Linked DNA regions of Mus musculus: all the other regions are reported to be linked to region 1. Evidence: microRNA targets listed by miRTarBase, many of them from high-throughput screens and not tested one by one. Region 1 holds a microRNA gene; each other region holds the end of a gene's coding sequence. Distances are from middle to middle.

Region 1 (4,168 bases):
CCTACAAGCCAACATCTGTGTAATACATTACTATACAAAACATTTTAACCATCAAAAAAGAGTTGGATTATGAAGTATTTTGGTAGCAGAGGGATTTTTACATCCCGCAGATCTGCCTGAAGATTGTCTTGCTACCAGCCAGGGCAAATTTGTTGCCCCACCCCACCTCACCCCACCCCCGCCGCCCTTTTTCTCTTCAGGGCTTCTAAGTATAGTGACAGCCGCGTGAGGTTTTCCTAGTCTCAGCACAAGCTCGGGGAGAATCTGGGAAATGTAAGTGGAAACATGAGACACGGCTCTATTTAGCAGTACTTAAAAAAAAAATAGCAGGACAAATGGCAAAGCAGTGTTGGGACCACAGGAAGAACAATCAATAGGCAGAAAGCAAGATAGAATCCTCCTCAGCTTTTAGATCGACAATCGACAGCTGAGAGACTATTTTTTGCTATGGCTGACTAAATATGGTCAGGGAAGAGAGAGGCACAAGAGAGTCTGTTTGCCTGGGAGTGCATGTTTCAAATGCTTAGCTGCCTATAAAGCTCGAGCAGCCTAGGCTGTGGCCACTGAGTCGGGAAGAACATAGGTTGGCTTCTGTGGTGACTATGTGGGAGTCCTGACCTCGCTTGCAGACTTGACCTCTGGATATAACAAGGTAGCTTCACTCCAGATCTACCACTAACCCTGGAAACTCAAACTCCTGCTCCTCCAAAAGAATCCCAAAGCAAGAAAGATGCAGAATATTTCCTGAGGCACCAGAAGAACCCAGTATGGTCTGGTGGGCACAGGAAACTGGGTGAATGCTTGCAGCTAATTGGGAGAATGTGAGGTGTGTTTAGGGTTTTGCTTGCAGTGGTTTTTTGTTTGTTTGTTTGTTTTTTTAAATCTTAGATTACAAAATTAACATCCTCTGCAACTTTTCCCCTCTTGTAAATCATTTCATCTAACAAAAACCCTAGGTACATTCTCTTTGCCACTGTAGCAACCTTCCCATTACTTAACTTTCTCTACATATCGATATAATTGATATATTACATTCTAAATTATATGACTAATGTTGATTCAATTTGAGAGAGAGAGAGAGAGATTGCATGCCTGCATGCACATCTGTGTATATGTGTCTTTCTATGTCTATGAGAAGAGCAAGGGAAAAAGGTAAAATTACGTTGTTTTTGTATATTTAACTTGTCTTTCAAATGTATCTTACAAGGTAAGGTTCTGTGTTCACTTACACTGGGTGCTTACCTCACCCAGCTTATAAAACCAGTGCTGAAACAGCAGCAGTGTGAAAGAACGGTCATGATGTGGTGACTGCAATGTTACTGTAGGTCACTACATCTCTTCCCTGTAAGTGGGGCAGGACACTAAGCTCACAGGTAAATCAAGCACAAGAACCAACTTGGAAGGACGCTTCTGACTTTCTGCATGCTTATCTAATATTGACTGATATATATTCTCATTGTTAAATTAATTTATATCTGGGCATAGGCTAATTTCAAAGCTCAAATTAATAATTTAGTTTTAAAAATGCCATTGTTCAAACAGCATGCCAGATAACTTCAAAAATATACAATCTACCACTAACATTACATCACTACAGACAGGGTCTTTATTGTTTTCAATTAAACAGTTGTTTCAATTGTGTCTCGCTCCTCTAGTAAACCTGCATCCCTGCCTCCAGAGCACAATAGCTTCTAAAGGCTACTTCAAGATTTGGGTTATGAAATGTCTCCCCTTGCTTACTACTCAGGCCACAGACATCCGCATGCTGCTGCACGGTGCAGGTCTCAGCGGCACTGCTGACTGAGGCCCGCGTTGGCAGCTTACTAGCTTTCTTCATGGACTGCAGAAATCCTATTCCCCCACTTCCCTCCCAGCACCCCCTTTTCTATTCTTTACCAAATCTCAAAGCTTCTCAATGTCTCCTTTTGAATTAACCTTCAAAATGTCTTAGTGACTATAGGCCACTCCCAAATTATTTTTTTTTTCTTGTGCTAAATATTCAAGGTAAAACCCAGAGATTCACAGACTAAAGTGCTTCTCCTCTTTTATGGAGACTTTGGAAAAGTTATTTTAGTACTTTTCCATTATATTAAAAACCATTTTTAAAAAGTAATCTCATACAAACCAAGCACGTAACTATTTGAATTTGCATTCAATGCAAACAGAAACAGAACAAAAACTTGGCTAAATGATTTGTAATCTGTTACCTTGAAAATAAATTTCCATTTAAAAACATTAATTCACTCACACAATGAAATGATCCAATTTCAAAGCCTGTGCTAACTGTAACTTGTTTCTCCCAATAAGTTTTAAGTAGAAGTATCTGGTTTATAAAAACAATTTAGACTAAATTGATTATCATCTGTCTGTAAAGGATCTAGAAGCAAATTATAAAGAAGAGGGAGGCACGACGGAGAGAGCAGCAAGCGTGCTAACATTTCTGAATACACTTAAGACTCTGCTGACTGCATCTCTTGGAAAAGAAGCAGCAGGGCAAAGCATGGCAGTGCTTAAAAGAACCACAAGCAGAAGTGGCATTGATGGGATCAGGTAAATCTGTTGTAAAATTCAGTCTCTGATAAGCTAATCTCCGCACTGGATCCATTACTCTTCCAGAAAAGTAATCCAAATGTCCTACTAACAGCTGGGTGAGGTGGGCTGCTTCATGTTTTCACAGCTATCGGCCGGCGCAGGAGTGCCTACTCAGAGCACATACTTCTTTATGTACCCATATGAACATTCAGTGCTATGGAATGTAAAGAAGTATGTATTTTGGGTAGGTAATGTCCGCCAAGAAGAAGCTAAAGGAAACTTTCCAGGAGGATGACTTCCATACTCTGAATTCACCTGTAATACTAACAGCCCCATTCCAAAAGGACCAGCCATTCACTGGGAAAACTAACATCCCTTATACTGTACTGAAGAGATAAGTCCCGTGGAAGTGGATTTTAATTTTCACATTAAATCATACTACACTCTACACTGAATACTCACGTGATTAAAATGTGACTACTACAGAGGAAATAGTATTGCTAGCGCAAAACAGTGAGACACAGGATCAACCATTATCTGTCTTCACAATTGGATATTTTAGTGTCTCACATCTATCAAATCAGGACCAACAAATCTAATAAGAAAAATAAAGCAACAAAAAGCTGATTTTACTCATATAATAGCTATTCTTCACATGTGGCAAAATGTATAACCTATTAAAATCAGAGGATCTCGTAAGCCAAAAATTTTGGTTTCATTATTTTCTTTTCTGACAGCTATTGAAACTATAATGTTTAAAGACTATCTTTTAAGTAAAATTATACTGCACACATGAAAACTGGCTTTTGTCCTTTTCCAGCTTGTCAGTTCTTAACCCAATCTGTACTTTAAGTGCAGTTAATACTTACAGCATGAAAAAGAATGATAAAAATGGCAAAACCCTAGGCCACAACTAAAATGTAAACAGGATATATTGGCAACAAACTGTCAAAAACCTGAGTCTGTATTGTCCTTGCTTATATCAAATGACATTGTTTTTCTCACAATGAGTTATGAACAGCTACATTAGTTATTCCACAGGTCTGAAAGGTTTTCATAATTCTTTAAGAAACATTTTCACAACTAATAATTTGTTACAATCCTTAGAGAATATTAGCTATTCATTTATAAAATAAAACTGAAAACTGATTTTGTTGCTTCCAAGTTCAGCTTTTGTCTAGGAGTGTTTTGAATCACTTGAAATGTCACATCCAGCACTTAGATCAGCTGTCCCTTTTGAAGTGAGTACATGTTAAACTCTGGGCATCTGCTGACACTGCTATTACTCAAACACTTCAACTGTCACCCTGACAGGGATAACAGATGCTGACACTATCAGATGCTGGACTATTTTTTCCCATGGCCTCTCCTTGTCCTGATATGGCCAGTACACGAAACTCAATGATCCAAAAGCACACTTGAGCAACTGCACTTGCTGACTGGCTGCCAGGGACCTACTAAAATAGAACCAGGCAAGTGCTATCTTCAGCACTTAAGTTTAAGCAACCAAATACCTGTTTCACTATTTGGAAAAAATGATGCAAAGAATTAAAATTACATTAATTTCACCAGAAGCACAATAATTAACAACAGATGTAGAATAGAATATTAAACTATTTGCATACTGTCTGAGATT
Region 2 (4,168 bases), not on the chromosome of region 1:
TAACTGTCTGAGACACATCAACATCCAAGCAACTTTTTACATGAGAAGGTCGACTCAACAGAGGAGCTGACTCACACTGCCAGTAACAGGAAAACAAAACAAACCCACCCACGTCAATGTTTTACTTATCAACGTTGAGTTGATGATGTCGTATTAGGTTACCACAGGGCCACATGGCACTGAAACTGTGGGACAAGTATGAGAGACTACTGGGCTGTCAGGAAGGCACACTCTGCTGCACATGGCTACGGTTAGGACAATCTCTGATCATGAGGTATGACAAATGTGCTCTCCATTTTTAAATTGATGACTGAATTTGTGTTTGAGAAGACAGTGAATTATTTCTAGAGCATAAGTCTGAATGGCTACAGACTAGTGGGAAAAAAAATCCCAGGAGGCCCTCTGGAGTCCTCCTAGTGTCAAGGCTGGAGCTTGTGGACACACTATGATCCAAGATGAAAAGCCAAGCCATCCAAGCACAGCTGAGAGAAGCAGTGCACATCCTTGGAGTGAGCCACAAGTTACCCAGGAAAACATGCCACCCAGAAGCAAGGAACCAAAGAGAGCGCATCGGGACGAGGCAGCAGATGACAGGGAGCGTCCCACTGGCAAAGAAAGGCCTGGAACGTACCAACAGTGCTAAGACCCAGCTACCGACCACACCTATCCATGCAACACCTAGCCTCCTCCTCTTCAGCACTGTCAAGACAAAGAGATGCTAGAGCTGGGACTGTAGCTCAGAGGAAGAGGAGAGCTTGCCTCGTACATGAGAGGCTCGAGCTTCTATACTCAGTAGAGCAAATACATACACACACACACACACATACACACACACACACACACACACACACACACACTCTTAGCAGAAGGTACCTCATAGTCTTTCCTAGTCGTCTCATACATTTTGAATCTTGATGTCCTTTTGGTTTTGTTTGTGATGAGAAAGCATCTAACTAGGCCCTTGCTGGCTTTGAGCCTGAGGTCTTGCCTCATGCTGCTCATGGCTGGGATTACAGGTGTGCACCACCGCGCCTAGCTCATACATGAATCTCTTCTGTAAGATTCATGTATTTCGTGGAAAGAATCGGGGAGAGGGCAGCAAACCCGACAGAACAAAGTAAGCAAGCACAGCGGAGAGGCTAAAAGTCACTAAGGAAAGAGGAGGAAGCAGCAATTCTAGTGAACAAAACACACACACAATTCTTTCTCAGGTCTGGCGTTTGCTGTCTCTTTCTTCCCAGTGTTTATTTCCAAGAGATGATGTTTCTGAAAGAGAAAAACCAGCCATCATTATGGTTTACACAGAATCACTATGGCCCTTAACTTCAGTTCTAAGTACAGGCAAGCCAGATAAACTAAATTACACACATTCAGATTATACGTGGCAGAGAAAAATTAAACAGCATCATAACAGTGCTTAATTTTTATCGATACTGGCATTAATCAGAGTGAATTATATTCTCTACAAATATAAAATGCAGCTATTGTAGCTCTTTCCAAATATAAAAACAAGTTTCATTTTAACTTATCTAGTCATCCCTTTAAGAACAATGTTAGCACCTCTATTTACAAAATTTATAATGCAGCAACACCTTTGTTATGTACATATGGTTTTAGACAGGGTCTTATTAGACCAAGCTATCTTAACTCCACATCTCACACGCCTCAAATCCCCAAGACAGCACTGCAGGCTGACTAATACCTGGCTGATAACTACTAACGAAAACCACACAACACAGTAGTTATAAAAGCCTTAACATTTGGAACACATATATCTGGAAGTAGATTAAGTAAGGTGAGAATAAATATCCAGTTTTATTTTCCTCCCAAATGAGAAGAGAATGCCTGAGTACCTATGTTATCTCCTCATTCCATGCCCTGCAGGTCCAGACTAACCGAGAAAGAGGCTGTAGCCCAGGGCATACCCAGAAGCTGGGACAGCTCCTCCCCTGTCAGCTGTAAGCTCCAGCCTGCAAGAGGGGGTGAGGTGTGGGGTGCACACCAAGAGCCTGCATGGACACCGTGAGCCTCTGCTTCCTCATCAGACAATAAGGTCATTCTACTACATGTGGGGGTGGGGGCAGGGAGCTACAAATGTGTGTAGTATATGGATAGGGAGCAAGGTGCACTCAGCTCTGCCCACAGGTGTGTGCCATTCTTCCTCAGATTGTTCCCACCTCCCGTTTTACTATGCAACATGAGTCTCTCAATGGCCTGGAACTGACGAGCAAGTTAGGCCAGCAGTTGCTGAGCCACAGTCTCCACTTCCCAGTGCTGGGATTGTGACAGCACACACCTTGCCCTGCACTTCTGCTTCAAGGATGCTGTGAGGACTGTGCAATGTGAGGCCCAGCCCCGTACACAGTGCTGTGTGGGGGAAACTAGCGTGTGTTATGTTTTAAATTCAAACATTTACCGTTCTAGGCTTTCTAATTTTCTAGAAACAATTGAAAATGGCAGCCTTATCTTAAATTATATGAGCACTCTCAGTATCTCTCTGAGGAGAGTTCACTACACAGATGAATAGACCAAAGTACAAATGATTAATTAGCTGGGCTAATCCCAGAAGCCTGTGTCATTGCAGGCTCTTCAGTCGGTCTAGTTAAAATCTTCATTAAATTCAAGATCTTAAGCTCAAGCACACAAAACAGAAATCAAGTATAGAGATGCTAAGGCACGACAATGGGAAGGAACTGTTGCTCAGGGTGTCAGCTTAGGTGCTAGCTTCCTTAGGGACAAACTCAGCAGAGGTGCGCACTCAGTCAGCACTGCTGTTCCAGAGGAGCGACAGCCCAGGGAATCCCAGGAGCTGCTGCAGGAGCATGGAAGAGCCAGCTCTGGGCTGACACTGCACCAACCCCACCCCTCCAGCACACACACAGGGGTGAATAAGTGGGGTAATCTCATTTTGTCCACAAGTTCCAGTTGGCTGCTGGCCATGACTACTTTCTGATGGCCCCTGTTCTTGCGGGGATCCTGACAGTAAGACACGGTTGGGAACTACTGGGATGGGCCCAGCACACTCTCTCTGAACAGTGGCACAGCACAGCCTGCTCCAGTGTCACAGGTGACAGAGTGCCTACCTTCCTCGATCTTCTATCCTTGCCCAGACTCAGGACTAAAGCTACTGCAGCAGACAGAGTCAGTGAGGCCTGAGAAGACGTCAAGTCTGGACACAGTGTGAGGCTAAGCTTCACCTCATGACCATCTTTACAAGTCTCTTCACATACTGACGATGTGAGCAATTTCAAATCAAACAGTAAGAAACGGCTTCACATAAGCACCTGGAGTCGGGTGCATCACAGAAGGGGAAACGGGAAACTTACTTAGCTTCTCAGCAGCTTTTTCATCTCTGTGAATTTACTTTGGTTGGTTGGATTGTTTAAGAGGAAGAGGAGAATCTGTTCGTGTTTCTCAATCTGTGGATGCAAAGGAGACAGTATGATTTCTCTCTCAATGTGAGGCAGCGTGTGGCTTCATGTAGGAGCTGCACCTACCTGTTTCTGTAACTCTGTGCAACAGCAGTCTCTGCTGTGTGGTATCTCTAGAAGCAAAAACAAACAAAACAGGCCTAGGTCATGGCAGTGAGGGAGCCCGCGTGCACCTGTGTGTCGGGGTCTAAGTGTCAACTCCCCAGGACATCACCCACCCAGTCATGTGCTGTGTGTGTCCTGGACTCTCAGACCAGCACTCCATCTAAAGATTAGGTCTTCTATGATGTCTTAGGTCTTCTAAGACTTCTCCTGTTGCTCAGATCAAAGAGAACCCGAAGAAAGGCACAGGCACAGTTGCAACCATTCCAAAGCTCTCAGTCTCGACTCCCACAGCACCAGTGTCCCTGACCTTGGGTCAGGTCAGGCTGAATTGCCACAGGAGTGCAGAGGAGGAGGAGAGGGTGGGGACTGAAGCCGTGAGGAGAGAGACAATCAAAACGACCTCTGCTGTGTATTACGCTTAAGAAAGTACCTTTAGTGGAAGCACTTTTCCTTTTAGAAGTGAGGTTTTCTGCCAGGCCACACATCACCAGATTCTCAGCTATATTGATCATTCCGTTCTCAGAACATTTTTCAACTGACACTGCGTGGACATTCTTTGAAATGGCTTTCACAGAGAGAACCACACTCTGGTTCAGCATGGCATTTCTCAGCAGCTCCATCACTAACTGCGA
Region 3 (4,168 bases), not on the chromosome of region 1:
GAACAGAAATCTGTGTTTTAGTGTCATCTTATTATCCCTACCTTATTTCTTGGCCTCTCTGTGCTCTTGACTTTAATTCAGGGTAAGTAGCCCTTGATCCCCTTCCCCTCTTCAGACACGGGCTTCCACATTGGCTACCCGACGCCTGCTTCTGGAGACTCCTCTGTTGAGTACCTGCCTTTGCAGTGGTTGCCCCAAAGCTGTAGTGAGACAGTGACATGGTTGCCTGAGACTGTGCTGTAAGCAGAACATGTGCGGATGAAGGTTTCCTTACTCCAGACTGGAGGAGATGGGTCAACCATAGTTCTTCATATATGGCGGATACTGTTTATATTGCAGACAGCAGTGACAGAAAAATTATGATCGATGCTTATTTTATTTCAGTGGAAGACACAATTCCATGAATCAGAAGACAACAAATGCCAAGAAAGGACCAGTTAAAAAGGTTCCAAGATCAAACCATCTTCCAAAACTCAACCCGTGACTCCAGAGCTGGGCAGACTTCTATTTTTTCCATCTTTTTCGTCATTCAGTGTCTTCAGTTTAGGAAGCTAATGTTCAATACATTCCTCAGGGGAGGAAATAGATGAGGGAGAGCGGCTTCTCTCACTCTTTCAAAAGTTGATTCTTCTGCCTGCATAAAAGTCATGGGTCTCCAGCAACCCTAAATATCCAGTACATGTGCTTATAGTTCTTACAATACCTTAGAAGGGACCCGAAGGTTGACATCCTTCTGGCACTCTCAGTAGAGTGTTTCTGATATTCTCTGATTGCACTTTTATGTTGTATTTGGTTTCTAAATTGACCATTAGTTAGAACTATATATTGTTTTATATATTATATATAATATCTCCACCTTTTTGTTATTTTAAATTGCATCATGCTCAGTTCAACTTTCTAAAATCAAGGTTTCAACATATTCCCAGATCACATGCATATGAAAGTTTCAGGAAAATATTATCAATAACTTCAGCCATGCACTGCATTGTTCTTGCCCCCATCCCCCCCCCCCCCGCCAGTAACCTTGAGGATTTAGGGTTATCCTATCACCTCATGTTTATTTCCTACATCTAGAAAAATGGCTGTGCTAAACTGTATAATTTATAAAATTTCTAGAAATTCAGTCACAGGGGTCTGCCACTGTGTATGTGGCATTAAAGTCATTTTGTGACATTTACTAATTCACAAAAATGGTCTAGTTTTTGGACCAAACTTTGCAGGAGTTTGGAATACTGGAGACTAGAAGGAAATAGAGGGAGAATAAGAAATTGTTTTTAGGACCTATGAACTTTATTGAATTTTATTCATGTTTAGGGTGTTTTGTGACTCGAATGTTTTTTCTAATTGTAGTAGAGATCAGGAAGATTCATATAACTTACCCATTTAAATGAGAGAAATTATTGGAATTTAAATTTCTTGTGCATGTTAAGCAAGTGGTGTTTTAACCTATATCTGATGAAAAAAGTCATTTGTTTCCTTTTATATGTAATGTGCCTTTTACACCTGAGGGGTTTATGTGTATGTATGTATGTGTGTATGTATGTATGTATGTATGTATGTATGTATTATGCATAATATGTACATGTATGTGTAGATAATAGAACCATAATGCTGCACTCATGAACTTGCAGTAGCTATGGTTGCCTGCACAAAACCTGCTCAAGATCAAGCTAGCCAACATTCCAGCTCCAGTGGCAGAGGGACACATGGGCCTCACCCCTAGCTGAGAAGCTGGTGACAGCAAGGTCTGCTAGGAGAGGGAGAGTCCGTCCTTTTAAGGGTGTGGTCCCTGGTAGGTTCAGAATGATCCAGTAGATGGCCCCACGGCTATGTATTTATGGACAGCACTAACTGGCTTCAATGGAATAGATGTGTGTGTGAATAAACATATATATGGATGTATATGTGTGTATGTATACACACGTATTTAAAGATATGCTGTTGGGAAGGGGTTATGGGATCTTGGAATTGGTGTGTGTATGAAATAAATACATTGTATACATGTGTGAAATTATCGAAGAATAAAATATTTTAATAAAATGGAATATTGACATGATAGGGCTTTAATGTACATATTTTCTCTTTCTTTATTTCTCTTCCAAGTTTGTTTCTAAAGACTGATTTTTCTCCTGGCTTTGGGTCTCCCATTCTGCTTCATATATCTATACAGTTTTTATTGGATGTTGAGTATCAATAATATCATATTGCAGATTGCAATATTCCTATGAGCATTTAAATTGCTTACAGTTCTATTTAACGCCTCAGACTTCCATTGGAGTGAGTAAACCTGCCAAGAGTGAGGTTGTTAAGATATAGCTAGCCTGAGGCCCCAGTGAAGTTACCGTGAATGACACAAAGGACACATAGCTCTGCTTGGCCCAGACCTGGATGCCTGGAGACCTGTAGGCACTCTGCTTCACCATTTTGCAATTTATGCCTTGGTGTCCTGTAGGGGCTCGTGGTATCCTGTGCAGACTTGGGGTTCTGTTTTTGGACAGGCCTTTGTGTTCACCATCAGCCTCTTCCACCAGCTTCTGTCTCCTCTAATGTGGGAAACGGACCTGTTACCATGGTACTTCCTTCTCTGAAGTCTGTGATGTGTATAGGGGAGGAGCTAAGGAGGCAACTGGACTTGCTGCCTTCTCAAGGATCCCCTCTTACACCTGCAAACAACTCTTTTATCTATTTTTATCTACCCTTCTATTTAGTCACAGTGAATGGCTAAATTTGGCTCTGCCACTCTTGCAAGGCCAGAACTGAAGAACACATTCACTTGATATTAAAACTATTTTTAAAGCAAAGAAAGAATATTAAAACACAAAGTATTAACAATCCATTTTGTTTCTTCAACCATTATATTTCTTTGAGTTGCACCTGGATAAAGGGGAGAGACAGGGCTTTGACTCTGTGCAAGTTCTGAAGAAAAACAAAAGTATTTGGTGATCAAACTAGTGGACTGTGGTCCAGATTGCTTTATGCTCAATGAACAGTCTCCTTTCTCGGAAGAATGCACCCGAGGCTCATGTTTCATGGACAGGAAGAACTTTGTTTACCAGTGCATAGGTCATAAACACTGAGCTGTTGTGTGTATTAGAAACACTGTCCAGGAGCACACCACAGGTACAGAATTGTATGAGATCCTATATCAAGCAGACATCCCCTTTTGTGCCTTCTCTCTGGTGGTCGTTGTATGTTTGTTTGTTTTTGTCTTTGTCTTGAGACTGTGTCATGTTATGTAGCTTAAAATTGGACACATCTAGGAAGAGGGAACCCCTGGTTGAACAGTCTCTATCAGATTATCTTGTTGGGAGTGTCTGCAGGGTACTTTCTGGATAGCCAGTTTGTAGATGTGGGCCTAGTCCACCATTGGTCATTGCCAAACCTAGGCAGTCCTGGGCTGTGTAAGGAATGTTGCTGAGCAAGCCAGAGAGCCACATCTCTTCATGGTCTCGACTTCAGGCTCTAGCCCCGGCTTCTCTCAATGGTAGCCTCTGACATGGGAATGTAAACTAAATAAACCCTCCCCTCTCCTAAATTTGTTAGTGTTCTATCATAGCAGAAGAAAAGTAAGCTAGAACTCCTAGCCAGAAACTTGCCATCCTCCTGCCTTAGCTTCTGAAGTGCTGGCACCAAAGACATGTACCACCATGCCAGACCAATAAGACATCTATGTCATTTCTAGGCCTGGCCTACAAAAGCACACAAGATCATCATTCTTGGTTGTGCCTCCTCCCCACCCTGATCTTCTTTGCTGGTTTTGGATATATTATAAGCACAACAACGGGTTTAATGTGCTTCTTTTCTATTTATATCCTCTGCTTCTGTGACTGATTTCCCCCCCCACATCCGCCCCTGATTTCTGATCTCATTTTCTGTCCACTATATCATTTTATGAATGTCATGCATTACATTGCTGTTGATAATTTTATTGGGCTTTATCCTTGCAAGCATTTAATGTCGATGCTGGGGATCAGGCTCAGGTCCTCAGGCAGGCAAGAACTTTCCGGACTGAGCCTTTTCTCCAGCCCCCTGCTACTATATAGATGGAATTATATTAGCCAAATAAATAAAATAAAACTGTATTACAGTGATTTAAAAAAGGGGTCTAAAGGTACCTTTTGACATCCACGTGTGTTTAGAGAATGAGCCATGGAAGTTCTGATTGCCT
Region 4 (4,168 bases), 21 Mb from region 1:
TAAACAAAGCACAACAACAAAAACTAAGCTTTTAACTGTAAAAGCAAGTGAAAATATCCTAACAGTCGTAGCGACCACAGGTATAGTTTGCACAGGATTCTTGGTACCACTGAAGCAGAGCAGAGACACTCACCCCAAGGCTGAGTCTAGAACTTTAGCACCTCAGAGTTTGCCTGTGTTGGTTATGTTTAAAGTCTTTCTCTAATAACTTGTCTTTGGTGTTTGTTTTTTAATACCAGAATTGTTTGAAATTGTATGTCAGGCAACTAGCCTGTCAGATGTCATTGATGGGATTGGGAAGAGTATAGTCTCTGTATTTCTTCCTCCTGTCATTTGGGAAGTTTCTATGGATTGTGGCAAAATTAAAAGTAAAGCACGGACAGTAACCAGTTAATCATCACTGAGAGTTCAGTAGGTTTCTCCTAACACTTTGTTCTTGTCACCAAAGCATGTTCTGGTTATTGTTAAGTTTCAGGCTCTTCTCACTGCTAGATTTACATATTTCAATAATTTGTTCTTCAATTTTCCCCAATCTTAGTTTCAGGCATCCTCCAAGAAAGGTATCAGTCGACTGGATAAACAGATGAGAAAGTTCACAGATATCAGGAAAAAAAGCAGATCTGCACATGCAGTGAAAATCAGCATCGAGGGCAATAAAATGCCATTGTGATCTTGCCTGGGACGTGTCCCCATCTCTAAAAGAAAGAAATGCACAGTGGACTATGGAGAAAGAAGATAATTTTAAATGTCTTAGTGTGTCTCTAAATGGTTCGATTTGTATCATCTGTTGTTGTAGGACTAACATTTCTCTCCGTTGTATTTAAGACCAGTTGTCTGCTTTGTACAGAAGAGTACTTACTACTCCTGCTTCTATCAACTGTACGTAATAAAATTTCATTATGGTTTTGGGGGGTTGTCTCATCATTGTCTTAGACACTATTCTCTGTGAGATCAAAAGCCAGTCCGTTTCAGTGTGTAAGTATGATATGAGGAATTTGTCTGGCCTTTGTTCCTGGCTCCTGACAAGGAATATCTCAAACCTTTACAATTCTTGAACTATCTTTGTTATACTCTTGATTTGGCACATCGTAGGGCCCTAAGTTCGCTCTAAGACTGGTCAGCAGAAATATGCTTGACCTAGTCGTATTGCCTGTTTGATTAACCAGCCATACCTTTGTATTGAAGCTATAGTAAAGAAAAGAACTCTGGACAAGTCAGGTGCCTTGCACACCTATAATCCCAGCATTTTGGAGACTGATGTTGAAATAAGAGGGTCATGAGTTTGAGGCTAGCCTGGATTACATGGCAAGACTCTTAACTGCTCTGGATACTGCAACTATGTTGATGTGCAAAGAGAACAAAGGCACAGAAGCTCTGCACCACCCTCCATACTACTCCTGAATCTTCATTGACCTGGTTGGCTTAATTTGTATCTTTTCTAATAAGATCAGTTATAAGTATAACCTTTTATTGAAAGACATAGTGCTTTTCCAAGTTCTATGAGTCATTCAGCAGGTTTTTAAACCAAGAAATTCTTGGGAACTTGCCTGGAAGTTTATAGCTACCCTGGAATTTTCATGGTCTAAAGATATCACTTGCAGTCTATGTCTGAAGTTGGGACAGTCTTGTGGAGGAAATCTGATCCCTAGAACTGTCAATTCTTACACTAACACCGAGCATTTGGTATCAGAATTGTGTTGTATACCACTGTATATGCCTATAATCTCAGCACTTTGGAGGCAGAGGCAGGAATTTTGGGAGCTCTTCCAACAATAACTTTGAGTTACTCAAAGACTGTTCAAATAAAGATGGTATCTCAGTAGAGTTGGAAATACAACAAGCATACTTTTTATTTCTCTTGTTAGAGATGCTTTGTTTGTTTAAATCTGAAGAGTTAAGCTGTGGGGAGAAAAAGTTAAGAAAATACAGATATAATTGAAAATTAGTTACATATAGCAATTGGACAAATAGAAAAAGGAGAAACTATTTATAGTTTCTTACTTGGTTTTGAGAATTCTTAATCATGAGAGATTTCTATAGATCAAGAAAGTTTTATCAGTAACTCATTCATTACTTAAGTCCTCTTCTAGTACAAACTGGAGCCTTGATTTAAAAAAATAGATTATTATTGGCCACAATGGCCTTTGGACAATTGAAGGAATGTGGACTTCATGGACTAGAACACTCCATAAGAACCTCTCAAGCCTGGTGTGGTGACACACACCTTTAATCTCAGCATTTGGGAGGGAGAAGAAGGCTGACCTCTGAGTTCATGACCAGCCTGGCCTACAGAGTGAGTTCCAGGACAGCCAGGGCTACACAGAGAAACCCTGTCTTTTAAAAAGAGAGAGAGAAAAAAGAAAAGAGCCTCATAAAGCCTCATTAAAGTACACTCAGCATGCAAGAGCAAATGGAGTGTGAAGCAGAAACCTACAGAGCCAACAGTTACAGACTAGGTGGTGGCAAAAACTACCTCTGGCTTTGTTTAATTTCATTAACTAAAAACAATAAAAGCATCTAATGAATTCAAAACAGTTCTGACATGTAAAGCAAGTTTTTAAGAGTTATTTTGGTGTCTTGGGATGAGCTTCACGTAACACCATGTTAATGGGAGTAAATATAACCAGCAGGTGATAAGCCCTTGATTGAAGGAGATGGTTCTGCACTACTTGAAGGGAAAGATGCTAATTTCTTTATAAATTACCTTTGCTGTGTGGATTGGGGGGGGGGGGTCCCCAAGCTTGACCCATTCATTGCCTTCATAGTTTCCATTTACTATAGTTTCTAGAACACTAAAATTAGCTCCCATTTACCCTTCAATATTTTTCAGTGTGCCACATTTTATATTCTATATCCAAGATTTCTTTTGCAGAGCATGTGAGTATAGTTTATCAAGAACCTTTGTTCTCAAGCTCCATATCTAAGCATATTTCTCTTAAAAACATGTTTTGTGGCGGGGCAGTGCACATCTTTAATGCCTGCATTCGGGAAGCAGAGGCAGGTGGATCTCTTGAGTTTGAGGCCATCCTGCTTTGATTGCATTTTAGGTCAGCAAGAGCTACACAGAGAAACCCTGTCTGAGAATAGAAACAACCCATGGTTTTTAGGGGCTAGATCATACAGCTCTGTTGGTAGAGTGCTTGCCTAGCACGCACTAAGTCTGGGTTCCATCCCCAGTACCACAAATATCTGGCCTGTCACCTTGCCAACCTGGCCTGGCTACATGGCAAGAACAAAGCCAGCCTGGGCTACTTGACAGTTCGTCTCAAGATTGGCCACATTAACTTTGACCTCTTGTATGGAATGCTGGGTAGTCACTTTTTGGTTTGGGTTGTTTTTTGGTTTGTTTGTAAAATGCTTTAATTTTGGCAAAAGATTTGTATCTTTACCACTTTTAACCATACAGCTTAGGTGCATTGACTGGGTTCACAGTGGTATGAGCCACCTTCATCTTACAAACTTTAGCTGTACTGGGCACAGTAGTGCACGTTTTTAATCCCAGCACTAAGCAGACAGAAGCAGGACAATTTCAGAGTTCAAAGTCATCCTAGTCTTTATAGAGAGTTCCAGACCAGTTAAGACTTGCATAGATCCTGCCTCAAACAACAAACACCTTAGCTCCTTCCACCAGCTCTTGACAAGTTCATTCTGCTTTCTGCCTCTGATTTAGACTATTCTAGGAACCTAGAATTTAATTTATGGGGGGAGGGGAACCATGGTATGCATATGGAAAATCACAATTTTATGGAGTTCTTGCCTTCGACCTTTATTTACTTGGATTCTAAGGATGAGACAGGTTGCAAGACTTTAGTGGCAAGGATTTTGACCATTTGAGCTATCTCACCAGCCTGTTTCTATGTATAGGTGATAATGCTTTGCCTTGTGCTTTTTTAAGTGACTTTTGTAACTTTGGCCCTACTGTTAAGTCTGATCCATTTGAGATAATTTTATGTTGTAGAAAGTTTACTTTTATTTCTGTACATCTTTGTTGAAAGACTGACCCTTACTGCTCTTGGATCCCTTATCAAAACGTATCTGACAGTATGAGGGTTTTCTTGTATATTTTGCTCCAGACTTTTAGTTCATTTTGTTTTGTTTTATCCTCATTATCCTGTTTTTACTTCAGGAACTTTATAGTAAAATTTGAAGTCAAGTAATATGATTTATT

Evidence for each region. The annotated mature microRNA mmu-miR-1b-5p reads UACAUACUUCUUUACAUUCCA and lies in region 1 at 2,750-2,770, opposite strand. An mRNA with a match to its seed (bases 2 to 7 or 8) in the 3' UTR can be bound and repressed. Matches are read on the target gene's strand: a 7mer-m8 pairs with bases 2 to 8, a 7mer-A1 pairs with bases 2 to 7 and ends in A, and an 8mer does both.
Region 2: the mRNA of Tdrd1 is a reported target of mmu-miR-1b-5p. Seed matches in the 3' UTR shown: 7mer-A1 at 803-809.
Region 3: miRTarBase lists Ccdc169 as a target of mmu-miR-1b-5p. Seed matches in the 3' UTR shown: 7mer-A1 at 1,519-1,525, 7mer-A1 at 1,523-1,529, 7mer-A1 at 1,535-1,541, 7mer-A1 at 1,539-1,545, 7mer-A1 at 1,543-1,549, 7mer-A1 at 1,547-1,553 and 4 more.
Region 4: miRTarBase lists Iws1 as a target of mmu-miR-1b-5p. The part of its 3' UTR that is shown has no 7-base or 8-base seed match.

What each region holds. Positions count from the first base shown.
Region 1 is chr18:10,784,088-10,788,255 of GRCm38, reverse strand. It overlaps Mir1b (microRNA 1b), which reads right to left and starts at 2,810; the gene lies at 2,689-2,810. All of the region lies in intron 12 of Mib1 (mindbomb E3 ubiquitin protein ligase 1), which reads right to left. It overlaps Mir133a-1hg (a long non-coding RNA gene), which reads left to right. Exons shown (of 3, transcript XR_877177.3): 1 at 1-826; 2 at 2,375-2,550. It overlaps Mir1a-2 (microRNA 1a-2), which reads left to right and starts at 2,704; the gene lies at 2,704-2,775.
Region 2 is chr19:56,865,801-56,869,968 of GRCm38, reverse strand. It overlaps Tdrd1 (tudor domain containing 1), which reads right to left. Exons shown (of 26, transcript NM_001002238.2): 23 at 3,967-4,168; 24 at 3,498-3,544; 25 at 3,327-3,419; 26 at 1-1,266. The coding sequence ends at 3,327. Among named protein-coding and RNA genes, the nearest start is that of Vwa2, 6.5 kb to the left of the region's middle.
Region 3 is chr3:55,170,881-55,175,048 of GRCm38, forward strand. Ccdc169 (coiled-coil domain containing 169) reads left to right here. Exons shown (of 8, transcript NM_177203.3): 8 at 385-2,056. The coding sequence ends at 484. Among named protein-coding and RNA genes, the nearest start is that of Sohlh2, 9.1 kb to the right of the region's middle.
Region 4 is chr18:32,096,612-32,100,779 of GRCm38, forward strand. It overlaps Iws1 (IWS1, SUPT6 interacting protein), which reads left to right. Exons shown (of 14, transcript NM_173441.3): 14 at 539-4,168. The coding sequence ends at 670. Among named protein-coding and RNA genes, the nearest start is that of Iws1, 31 kb to the left of the region's middle.